Linked DNA regions of Macaca mulatta. The protein of the gene in region 2 purifies or fractionates together with the protein of the main gene of each other region. This does not show direct contact. Links are inferred from orthologs where the notes say so. Each region holds a gene or a part of one and is shown on either strand. Other genes may lie near its edges. The genes, in order: UBAC2, TBC1D15 and UBXN8.

Evidence for each region.
Region 1: the proteins of TBC1D15 (region 2) and UBAC2 purify together in Homo sapiens (affinity purification with mass spectrometry; 3 studies listed by BioGRID and IntAct, counting the BioPlex papers as one, with this or other methods). This does not show direct contact. The link is inferred for Macaca mulatta from reciprocal best matches to the Homo sapiens genes TBC1D15 and UBAC2.
Region 3: the proteins of TBC1D15 (region 2) and UBXN8 purify together in Homo sapiens (affinity purification with mass spectrometry; 3 studies listed by BioGRID and IntAct, counting the BioPlex papers as one, with this or other methods). This does not show direct contact. The link is inferred for Macaca mulatta from reciprocal best matches to the Homo sapiens genes TBC1D15 and UBXN8.

What each region holds. Positions count from the first base shown.
Region 1 is NC_133422.1:94,050,776-94,054,429, reverse strand, and holds part of UBAC2 (ubiquitin-associated domain-containing protein 2), read right to left. Parts: intron 3,417-3,654; coding exon 3,171-3,416; intron 1-3,170. UniProt on the Homo sapiens protein: Restricts trafficking of FAF2 from the endoplasmic reticulum to lipid droplets.
Region 2 is NC_133416.1:79,038,687-79,042,340, reverse strand, and holds part of TBC1D15 (TBC1 domain family member 15), read right to left. Parts: intron 1,438-3,654; coding exon 1,227-1,437; intron 1-1,226. UniProt on the Homo sapiens protein: Acts as a GTPase activating protein for RAB7A. Does not act on RAB4, RAB5 or RAB6.
Region 3 is NC_133413.1:32,539,883-32,543,536, forward strand, and holds part of UBXN8 (UBX domain-containing protein 8), read left to right. Parts: intron 1-1,335; coding exon 1,336-1,458; intron 1,459-2,967; coding exon 2,968-3,038; intron 3,039-3,654. UniProt on the Homo sapiens protein: Involved in endoplasmic reticulum-associated degradation (ERAD) for misfolded lumenal proteins, possibly by tethering VCP to the endoplasmic reticulum membrane. May play a role in reproduction.

The DNA.
Region 1 (3,654 bases), on a different chromosome or scaffold from region 2:
ATGTCCAGCCCTAGGCCTAGCATATAATAAGCACTAAGTACTTATTTGTTGAAAAGTAAACGAAAATCAAAATAAACTCTTCCCCTGGTATTACATTCCGATACAACTGCACCCTGTACAGTACTCGTGCATGCACACAAACACGGCAGATAATTCCCAGTGGTGGTTTAACAAGAGTTCTCTACGTGGTGATTTATCACACTTATGTGAATAACACTGAGACACAGCTGAGTGAAGAAGTTCAGCAGGAGTCTAAGCACTGAGTTTTGGGTGTATCCATGTGCAGACCCTAGAAGTAAGCTTAGCAAAAAATCAAGTCTGGTCTGTGCTGCCCAGCAGACCACTCAATGTAAAAGCCCGGCAAAGGCCCAAGGGCTGGTGTCCTGCTCTGGACTTCAGACCTGTTGGTGAGACCATCCTATGAAAGTGGAGGAGTCTGACAGCAGTACAAACAGCCATAAAGGCCCGTGCCACTTCACAGGCGCCTGGTGGGAATGCACGCTCCAGCAGGGCAGGGATTTGGGTCTGTCTCATTCCCTGAGGCCTGGGTGCAAGCTGGTAGATCCCATGATGTTCCAAGTATCTGGGGTGGGGAAAGACACCGTGCGGAGTTTACGGCAAGGCAGGAAAGGAGAACCATAATGTGGGTCCATAGGGTCCTGGAGCGAGGGTGTGCGCACGCAGCCAAGAATCCCACTTGTATAAACTACTGCTGCACCACGAAGTGCCTGTCCATAGGCCGTAACGTGAGCATGTGGTCAGCAGTGGAGACCCACCACGTTACCAAGCCAGGCGGGCCGACAGAAACCCGTCACCAGATGGACATGGGCATCTGGGCTCAGCATGAGTGGGGCTGCAGGGCATGGGTGAGCTGCAGAAGCAGACATGCCAGACCACCCTGGCAGCCACCTCTGCTGCACCACAGCCTCTTCCCAGCTAACACCGACTGCCACAGCGGTTGGGCCCCTCATGACCAAGTGACAGAGGGGAAAACAGCCAAATGGATAGGCTGGCTCAGGACATGAGTGGCAGCTGGAGGAAACGGCTGCATGATGGCTCGATCTTGAAAGACAATGATCAGGGGAACCCCTATGGGCAGAGCCCGGGCAGCACATTTGGTCACCAACTCTGAGTGGAAAGAGAAGTGGCCTGAGGCAATCACACGTGTGGATCTGCTGGGCATGGCAGATCACCTGGTTGGCCGGTCAGGGGACTGGAAGGAAGGGCACAAGGAGGACCCAGCTAGAGGAACAGCAGCATCAAGTGTTTTGCAGGTAGTGCCCACCACGGGCATCCACCACCGAAAAGGCACCAAGTGGAAGGTGGGCAGAATGGCCGTGGCTCCATCGCCAGATAACCCAGTGCTGGCACACGAATGGACGGCCACAGTGGCGGCACAGAGGAATGTGCGGTCCCCTCACCCAGACCGACCTATCTCCTGCCACTATGGAGCATCCAACCTGGCACCCACAGAGACTGCATGCACCGGATAACCACCGTCCGCAAGCAGAACAGTCACGCAGCACCGAGACGATGCTGGGCCCTTTCCACCCTGCAGCGTTATGGAACACACTGTCCCCCACCCCTTGCCCCTGCCCCATATTCACACACTGAAGCCTTAATCCTGCGATGTGACTGTATGCTGACAGTGTTCGCTCTTAAACTCCTTGTATAAAAATCTTCCTGAGGAGGCCAATCTGAGAAATGCAGCTTCTCTGGTTTGCTTATGAGTACAAATTCAAAGCTCTCCAATGGAGAATCTCCTCCCAGGACTCCCAAGGTATCTCAGACAACATATTTCCCCCAAATCTGCTCTTTTGATATTGGTGAAATGGAACTATCAGTCCTCTATCTTCAAGATTATCTAGGCCAGAAACATCAGAACACCCCCTCATAAGCTCTTTGCCTCTACCTTTATACTCAATCACTACTCAGTTTTTCTGACCTTGATCATTCTGAGTTCTCATACCTTTCGCTCTTCTCTGTTTCCTTGTAGGATTTACCTCCTGCTAAATACAAGGCTTCATCTGTAGCCTGTGTTCACCTTGGATGTAGTTCTTCTCTTACAGAACTTACTAGTTCTTTGCTTTCGGCTCTCAGCTCTCACCCCTACAGAGGTGACTCCATCGCCTACATATATATGTAGCTTCCACATCTCCAAGACAGAGATGTCCATCCTCCAGCTTTAAATACATCATGAGCATCTTTATGGCATGTTCCAGAGTCACTCAAATTCAAGCACATCTTTAAGAAACAACTTCTGCTTCTCTCTTTCTCTTGTAGACTCTGCACCTGATAAGGTGCCCCCTTCCTCCCATCCCAATATAAACTCTGGGACCTGCATCTCCAATGAGACTCTAAGGACCTCAAACCTGATTTCACTTCTCCAAACCATCGTGAGATCTGCAGACCTACTTCTTGCATCTAATGCTAGTGGGAGACAGAGAGATGGCAGAGGTAAGTATGGTTTACAACTACCCCAGGGGTAAAGAAGGTAGAGGCGAAAAATGGGGAGCCCTGTAGGCTGGCTCACAGAAGTGTCCTAGAAAGATCAGGCCTGAGGTTTTAGCCTGATGTGCACTAACCCTCCTTCCTTCGCTGCCCATGGAAGACAAGTGTGGTATCAGATTGTTTGGATGCAGTATTTGTAGACAAATGTGCAATAGTTTCTGATTATTGATAGCAAGGTTGAGAAAACACAGCATTTTTTAAATCTACTCCTTGGTTGTTCCATTGAAAATCTTATTACCTTCATATTCTCTTCATTTCAATTAAGGAAAATCAAGAAGTTTTACATTTGTTCTTCACTCCATGGCATATGATTAGCATTTTAACAGGAAGACACTGTGGCTTTTACAAGATTATAAAAACAGATAAATAGCACATCTTGTTAACTAGGTTGGTGTTTCTCTAAGAAGTCATGCTTATCTAATATAGGTGGAAAAAGAATGTCCAGTTTGACCAATCTTTCAGCTACAATTTATTTTTTACCTTCTTAAAAAACTAAGAATCGCCACTAACAGAGACCTACATTCTCTTTGGAAATGTCAAAATCCGCTTGCAAGGCACTGGAATAAAATGTAGTCTCTATCTCACATGCAATCACAGAGGAAAGATTTGCTGGGGCCACTGAGAATTTCTAAATTTTTAGTGATTATTATCACTTTTACCTGCTGCTGTCTCTGTCGCCTCCCTTGTGCAAACTGAGAGAACATCAGCTGCCGGTCCAGCAGCTCCATCCTCTGCTGTCTCTGGATGTCTAGCGTGGCTCCCATCCCAATTCTGGCTTCGCTGGTGGGTTCTGAAGAAGAGAAGATGGGTTCAAGTGTCCAAGAAAAGAATTTTGCCATCCAGCTGGGGATGCAGAGCACCTGATGCACCTGGAACATTTTGCTGTTGTAGCACAGACCGGACATCTAAAAGAAAAACGTCCAATGTGATTGATTAAATGTAGTATCATTTTAAAAAATGTACATGACACAAAAATCAGCAGCCTCCAAACACTGCACATAGTGTTCTTCTTAGTCACAGCGTGTTAGGCAATAAGCAAAATCCTCTACCACAGAACACTAAGCAGTACAAATCAACACAAAACTGAATTTACTCAGTAAAACAAAATTGTTTTTTATTGAATTAGAAGAGCTAGCAAAATTC
Region 2 (3,654 bases):
GCAGTGAGCCAAAATCACACCACCGCACTCCAGCCTGGGTGACAGAGTGAGACTCCATCATAAACAAACAAACAAACAAAGTTAGCAATCATTCCCTGCAGTTCTCCCAAGCCCAAAACCTCAACTTCTCCCTTCTCACCTCCATACATCCAATCCATCATAAAATCTAATCCTATAATCTAATACTGCAATACTTCCATCTTTCCTGTCACTATCCCAGTTCAGGTCACTTTAATCTCACCTGGATAACTGGAAGAACCTGCTAACATGACCCAAAAGATGCTTTGTGCTTTGGACTTCACTCAGCTCTTTGGCCCCATCTTTAACTGTATTACCCTCCCCTCCTCATACTTTGCAGACCTGTAATACTGAATTAATTTGCTGTGTGATTACATCATGTTTGTACTCTTCCCTTGTAAAACATGCTTCCCTCTAAATATCTCCTTCTCTTTCCTTATAATGGTCACTCATTTTTCAGGTCTCTACTTAGATGCTTCTTCCTCCAGGAAGTCTTCCTTGATCCCTACTCCCAGTTTCAATTAAGTGCCCCTCATTCTTTCCCAGGAACTCCCAAAGCAGCTGACACTTCTTTCATCTTAGTTCCTCAGTTTTAATTGCCAGACTATGAATTCTCTGAGACCCAGGAACACCCCTGTTTTACTAGTAAATATGAAGCATCTACCACAGTGTTGGGATGTAATAGATACCCAAAAAATATTTGCTGAGAGTAAGAGTGAGGAAGCATGTGTATGTACAGATGCACACAGGTAACTAAATGAGAGACAAGATTTCTGGAAAGTGGTAAGGCCCTATCGTCCAACTGAGAAATAATTTTATAAAGGACGTAGGACTTGCCTGACTTAAAGTTGCAACATCACAAGTATAACTGTATATTTAGTAGAAAATACAAAATAAAGGGTAAATTAGGTAAATATATAGGCCATTAATTACTAACGCATTATCATTCATTTAAATGTAGAAAAAATATTAAACTACTCTTTTCTTTGTAACAGTAATTAGGTGGTAAGTCTCAGATTCAAATTACTAAAATAACACAGTATGATTCAGTCGTTATTCCAAATAAATCAATATCCCAGAAAAAACAAAGCTGTTCATGTCCTCATATGCACATAGGTCACTGATGCCCAAGGTCAAGTAAAAATAGTTCGCTTTGGGATTAATACAATGATCCAGTTTCAATAAGTAGAAAATAATACGATACTTACTCACACAATACCACATATTTTTCAAGAGATTCAATCAGTAGTTTGCTATCTCCTTGATGAAAGTGTAGAGCAGGGAGAACGACGTCATCCTTTAGACAGAATACCAAATACGACCAGCCCATACCCTCTTTGTTTTGCTTGATTGATTTCAGGTCTGTCAAACTGAACAGGAATGACCATTTGCTTTTCCCATTTCTATGACTTGGAGCATCTTAAAAACAAGAGAGTGGGGCAAAATATTTTTGTTCACCTTTTTAAAAGGTACTGACAGTGCTCTCCATGACTGCATAACATAAATTAGTTGAACCCAGGGAATCAGTACAGCACTCATATTATTATGGCTTCCACCTGTATTAGATATGGCAACTTATATGTTCTTTTAAAAAATGATTTTTAAAATAATTATCCTACCACATATAAATTTTTTAAATGTTATTCCTATGTAAAATATAAGCTTTGACCAAAAAAACTGATCATGGCTTTGCAAGCAGGTGGACTGGATTCATATTGCAGTACTACCATCTTACTAACTGAATGACATGGGGCAAATAATTGAATGTCTCTGAGCCTCAGTTACTTTGTTTGTAAAATGGAGATAATTATACTTACCTCCCATTGTAATTCTATTAATAAGAATTAGGAGATAATACTTTTCAACTAACTAGTACAAGCCAAGTATACAGAAAATTCTCAGTAAATGTTCATCTTTTCTACTCCCCCCAAAATAAGAATAGCTTAATTCTCTTGAAGAGTCAAAAAAACAAAACAAAACAAAACAAAACCTTTATTCCTTCATTTCCTTTTGTAATTATTTTTAGGACACTACACTTAGTAGTGAAGTAAGCATACTGATATAAAAAATAACACTGGAGTGAATATACAACACTCTATTTGCAGAAAAACAAAGTACAGCAAGAAATTGAGGATGAAAAGATAAAAAGTTTTGAATGCTTCAAAAATAATGAATCAATTGCTAAATTAACTTTCTACTACATCAAGACCTCAGTTCAAACCAAATTATAGTTATGTAAAATACAGCATGTTCTGAGTTTGTGGCCTCGTTATAGAAGCTAAAATTCCAGGTTTGCGAACATTATCATAATTGATAACAAGCAACTTAAACATCAACTATTTATAAAAAAAAAAACTGAAAGAGAAAAAAAATTTATTCTCACTAATGATGCTAGTACTTACAATTCACTTCTAATGTAAAACACCATTTTAACAATTTAACTCCAACATAAGTAAGCTGTGTCTCTGAAATTTCTTTCCTAAAATGTTATTTCTTAAGAAGTATCATACTATCCTGCTATTCAAGATCTTTATTATTTCTGTCCCACACTACCAATCCCACAAAGATAAACTACTTAGAAGGAAGCTGCTTACTAGACTAGATCAGAAGACATATTAACCAGTGTTGACCTGCATGTATGTATCACCTTCCTATCTGCAATCATCTCCAATAAGATCTCTTGAACTCATAAAAAGAAATCTACAGCTTACAGAACCTCTATCTGCAAGGAAACCATGTGTCATCATTATTTCATGGACACTTAAACAAGTATCATTTGAAGGAAGCTAAAGTGACTTATCTATATACAATGACTAGCAGCTTTCACACCAGTCTGGACAGTGAACTCACATGTAAGATACACTAGATTAAGTGCCATGTGTCCACTTGACTACTTTACATAATGTTTCACTGGTGTTTATATTATAGAGCTCATAAGACCACTTCAAGCTGATACCTAAGTGAGAACAGTTCTAGAATTTCAACTTACTCATGAATCATTTAAGTGTGAATGTACTTAGACTACCTAGAACAGATACATACTGCTAGCTTATCTGCAAAGACCAAAAATATTTCACAGAAAAACAGCAATGGGAAAAAGAAGAAAAAAAAGAAACCCAAAAAACTACATATAGACAATTTTTTAAATTAAATTATTCAACGGCACAGAGGATTTTATCTAAATTATTGCAAGAAAATCATATGAAGTATATTAAACACTATATGTATGCTATATGAATTATTAGAAGTTTGTGCATATTCAAGAATAAAGGTTTTTTTAATAGATTTTTCCCTCATTAACAGAAGAAACATATATTACATACAAAAGAAAATGTCTCACACATTTCCACATTTAAAGCTCTGACAAAGAAATAATTTAAAACCCTAACAAACAAATATTCTAAGCCTTCTACTAGAATAAAAGCTTCATGAGAACAGGAACTTTATCTTGTTCACAGCTATATCCTCAGTGCTAGAAGAGTCAGTAAGTAGTCAAAGACGAAAGATCTGTTGAATAAGTCAATTAACAACCTAGTATCAAGTCAACATAAAAGTAATCTGCAAATTAGTCTGCTGCAAATAGCTGGCCAGAAATAGAAATGGTTACAGAGGAAAACAGAAATCAAGAGTGAACTC
Region 3 (3,654 bases), on a different chromosome or scaffold from region 2:
TCCCAAGTAGCTGGGACTACAGGTACCCGCCACCACTCCCGGCTAATCTTTTGTATTTTTAGTCGAGACAGGGTTTCACCGTGTTAGCCAGGATGGTCTTGATCTCTTGACCTCGTGATCTGCCCACCTCAGCTTCCCAAAGTGCTGGGATTACAGGCGTGAGCCACCACACCCGACCAACACGATATTTTCACAATTTTATTTCTAGTTATGTAATTTTCTCTATATGGGAAACTACAACTTATACATTACTGATATTCATATTTTTAGTGTAGCTGATTGCTCTAATTATAACTGTATTCCCAAGATAGTGTTTATTCTAGAATTATGCTCTGTACATTTGTTCTGGAAATGACAACCATTATGAGTTTTTTAATGCCCAAAGGAGAACACAGTAAGCCCTCTGTATCCGTGAGTTCCACATCCGAGGATTTAAGCACCTGTGGATTGAGACTATTCAGAAAGGGCTGGGTGTGGTGTCTCACTCCTACAATCCCAGGACCTTGGGAGGCTGAGGCGAGCAGATTGCCTGAGTTCAGGAGTTCAAGACCAGACTGTACCACATGGCGAGACCCTACAAAAAATACAGAAATTAGCCGGGTGTGGTGGTGCGTGCCTGTAGTCCCAGCTACTTGGCGGGGCTAAGGCAGGAGGATCATTTGAGCCCCAGGAGGTTGAGGCTGCAGTGAGCCGTGTTCTCACCACTACACTCCAGCAGCCTGGGTGGCAGAGCAAGACCAAGAAGAGCAACACACTGTCTCTTAAAGAAGGAAAGAAAAGAAAATATTCAGAAAAAAAATGGGGTAAATGAATGTTTGTCTGTCTGTCCCGACCATGTACAGACTTTTTTCCCTGTCCATAAACAGTAAAGTATAGCAACTATTTATAGAGCCTTTACGCTGTATTGGGTAGTATATGAGTAATCTATAGATGATTTAAAGTATGTAGGAGCATAGACTATATGCGAACACTATGCCATTTTATATCAGGTACTTGAACATCCGTGGATTTTGGTATACTCAGGAGTCCTGGAACCAATACCCCATGCATACTAAGGGATGACTATATATGAACAAAATCATAAGACAGTTATATAACTTTACTTTCCCAGTACAGATAATCTTCTAATGTGTTATAATTTATTAGGAGTATCAAGAAAACTGTTTTGGGTTGGGCATGTTGGCTCACGCCTATTATCCTAGCTAGCACTTTGGGAGGCCAAGGCAGGAGGATCACTTGAGCTCAGGAGTTTGAGACCAGCCTAGTCAACATAGTGAGACCTCGTCTCTTAAAACAAAAAGTTTTGAATTTTAATTTTTTTTTTTCCTTCGTCAGGAATCAAGGATTTTCTTTTGCTTTGTGGCCGGATTTTCTTACTGCTTGCTCTTCTTACTTTAATTATTTCTGTGACTACCTCATGGCTTAACTCATTTAAATCTTCCCAAGTTTATCTGAAGGGTAAGTTTATTATTTATGCTACCCTTTTATGCCATTCTACTCAAATTTCTTTCCTTTATTTATTCTAGAACTTTGCACAGTAAGAACCATTTTACTATTAATTTGTGATGTGTAGTTTCAGGGAGAGTAATCATCACAACTTTAGTCATGATTTTGTGTGTGGTTTTTAAAAATTAGTGATGATGGCTTTGCATGGACTATATCCCAACATTTTTATGAGAAATTGTACATTTTTCTCATATATATGTGTTTTTAAGCTATATCATTTCTAAGTTGTTATATGGTAAATTCCCTAATTTTAAATTGTGTGTTTGTGTTGCTTAACTGCCGTTTGATACCTACAGTTTATGAGCTGTTCTACCGAGTGAAAGTATCTATCATTAACCTTTTTTTTTTTTTTGGAGATGGAGTCTCGCTCTGTCACCAGCTGGAGTGCAGTGGCGCAATCTTGGCTCACTGCAACCTCCGCCTCCTGGGTTCAAGCGATTCTCCTGTCTCAGCCTCCCGAGTAGCTGGGACTACAGGCATGCACCACCATGCCTAGCTAAATGTTGTATTTTTAGTAGAGATGGGGCTTCACCATGTTTGCCAGGATGGTCTTGATCTCTTGACCTCGTGATCCGCCCGCCTCAGCCTCCCGAAGTTGGGATCACAGGCATGAGACAGCACGCCCTGCCGATCTACCATTAATCTTGAAAGGCTTTTCATCCTAATTTTTTGTTCCATTCTAGCAGTTTTTACTTAGACACCTTTGTCTTTTATATGTAAATGTTTTTAATTTTAGGAAATCATGCTTGCTTTTGGTTTTTAAATTTGAGACAGAGTCTCGCTCTGTCACCCAGGCTGGAATGCAGTGGCATGATCTTGGCTCACTGCAGCCTCCTCCTCCCAGGCTCAAGTGATCCTCTTGCCTCAGCTTCCCAAGTAGTTGGGACTACAGGTGTGTACCACTGCATCTGGCTAATTTTTGTAGTTTTTGTAGAGGTGGGATTTCGCCATGTAGCCCAGGCTGGTCTCTAGCTCCTGAGCTCAAGTGATCCACCTGCCTCAGTCACCCAAAATGCTGAGATTGCAGGCTTGACCACTTCGCCTAGCCTGTTTCATTTTTGATAAGCAAAAGTTTGTGAGTCCTAGAAGCCTTTTAAAATAATATTGTACTTAGCCTCAGAATCTTAAAACCAAAAACTACATATTTTCTATGCTACTAGGAAGAAGCTTGTCATTAGTGAATTTGGTACATTGTGTTTTCACTGTTTATTTAAATGTAAGTAAATAAAAGGAAAGTGACCAGTGTTGAATGTATAGCCCTTTCAAATTAACTATGAATAAAACCATAATCCTAAAAGGTTATATTATTCAACCCAAACATAAATGACAGTGTGATATTTTAGGGTCTCCCAACCATAGACTTCAGATTTTTTTTCTTTCTTTTGATAAATTATTTGATTGGTTATACTTCAAATGAGATATTTGGGAAGTAAAAAGCACTTTCATGTTTTGATGTCTTAGAAGAAGAAGAAAAGAATGAGAAAAGACAAAAACTTGTGAGAAAAAAACAACAAGAGGCACAAGGAGAGAAGGTAAGCCAGAATTTTTAGAGACTTTATGCATAGAGAAATACAAAAATCTCTGAGGCAATTAAAAATAAGGTCTGTTGCTTCTGTGTTTGTGCTAAGATTTAAAAAATATATATTGAGGTCAAATTCATGTGACATAAACTTGACCATTTTATGTTACTTGTTTTTGAAATGGAGTCTCACTCTGTCACCTAGGCTGGAAAGCAGTGGTGAGATCTTGGCTCACTGCAATCTCCACCTCCCAGGTTCAAGCGATTCTCCCGCCGCAGCCTCCCAAGTAGCTAGGATTACAGGCATGCACCACCACACCCAGCTAATTTTTGTATTTTTAGTAGAGACGTGGTTTCGCCATATTGGCCAGGCTGGTCTTAAACTCCTGACCTCAGGTGATCCGCCTGCCTTGGCCTTCCAAAATGCTGGGATTACAGACATGAGTCACTGTGCCCAGCCACAATTGACCAGGCTGTTCAGTGACATTTAGTACATTCACAAGGTTGTACAACTACCACCTCTGTTCCATCTCCCATGAAGAAAACCGTATACTCTTTAAACAGTCACTCCCCACTTTCCCCTCCTCCCATCCTCTGGCAACTACCAGTCTGCTTTCTGTTGGTATGAA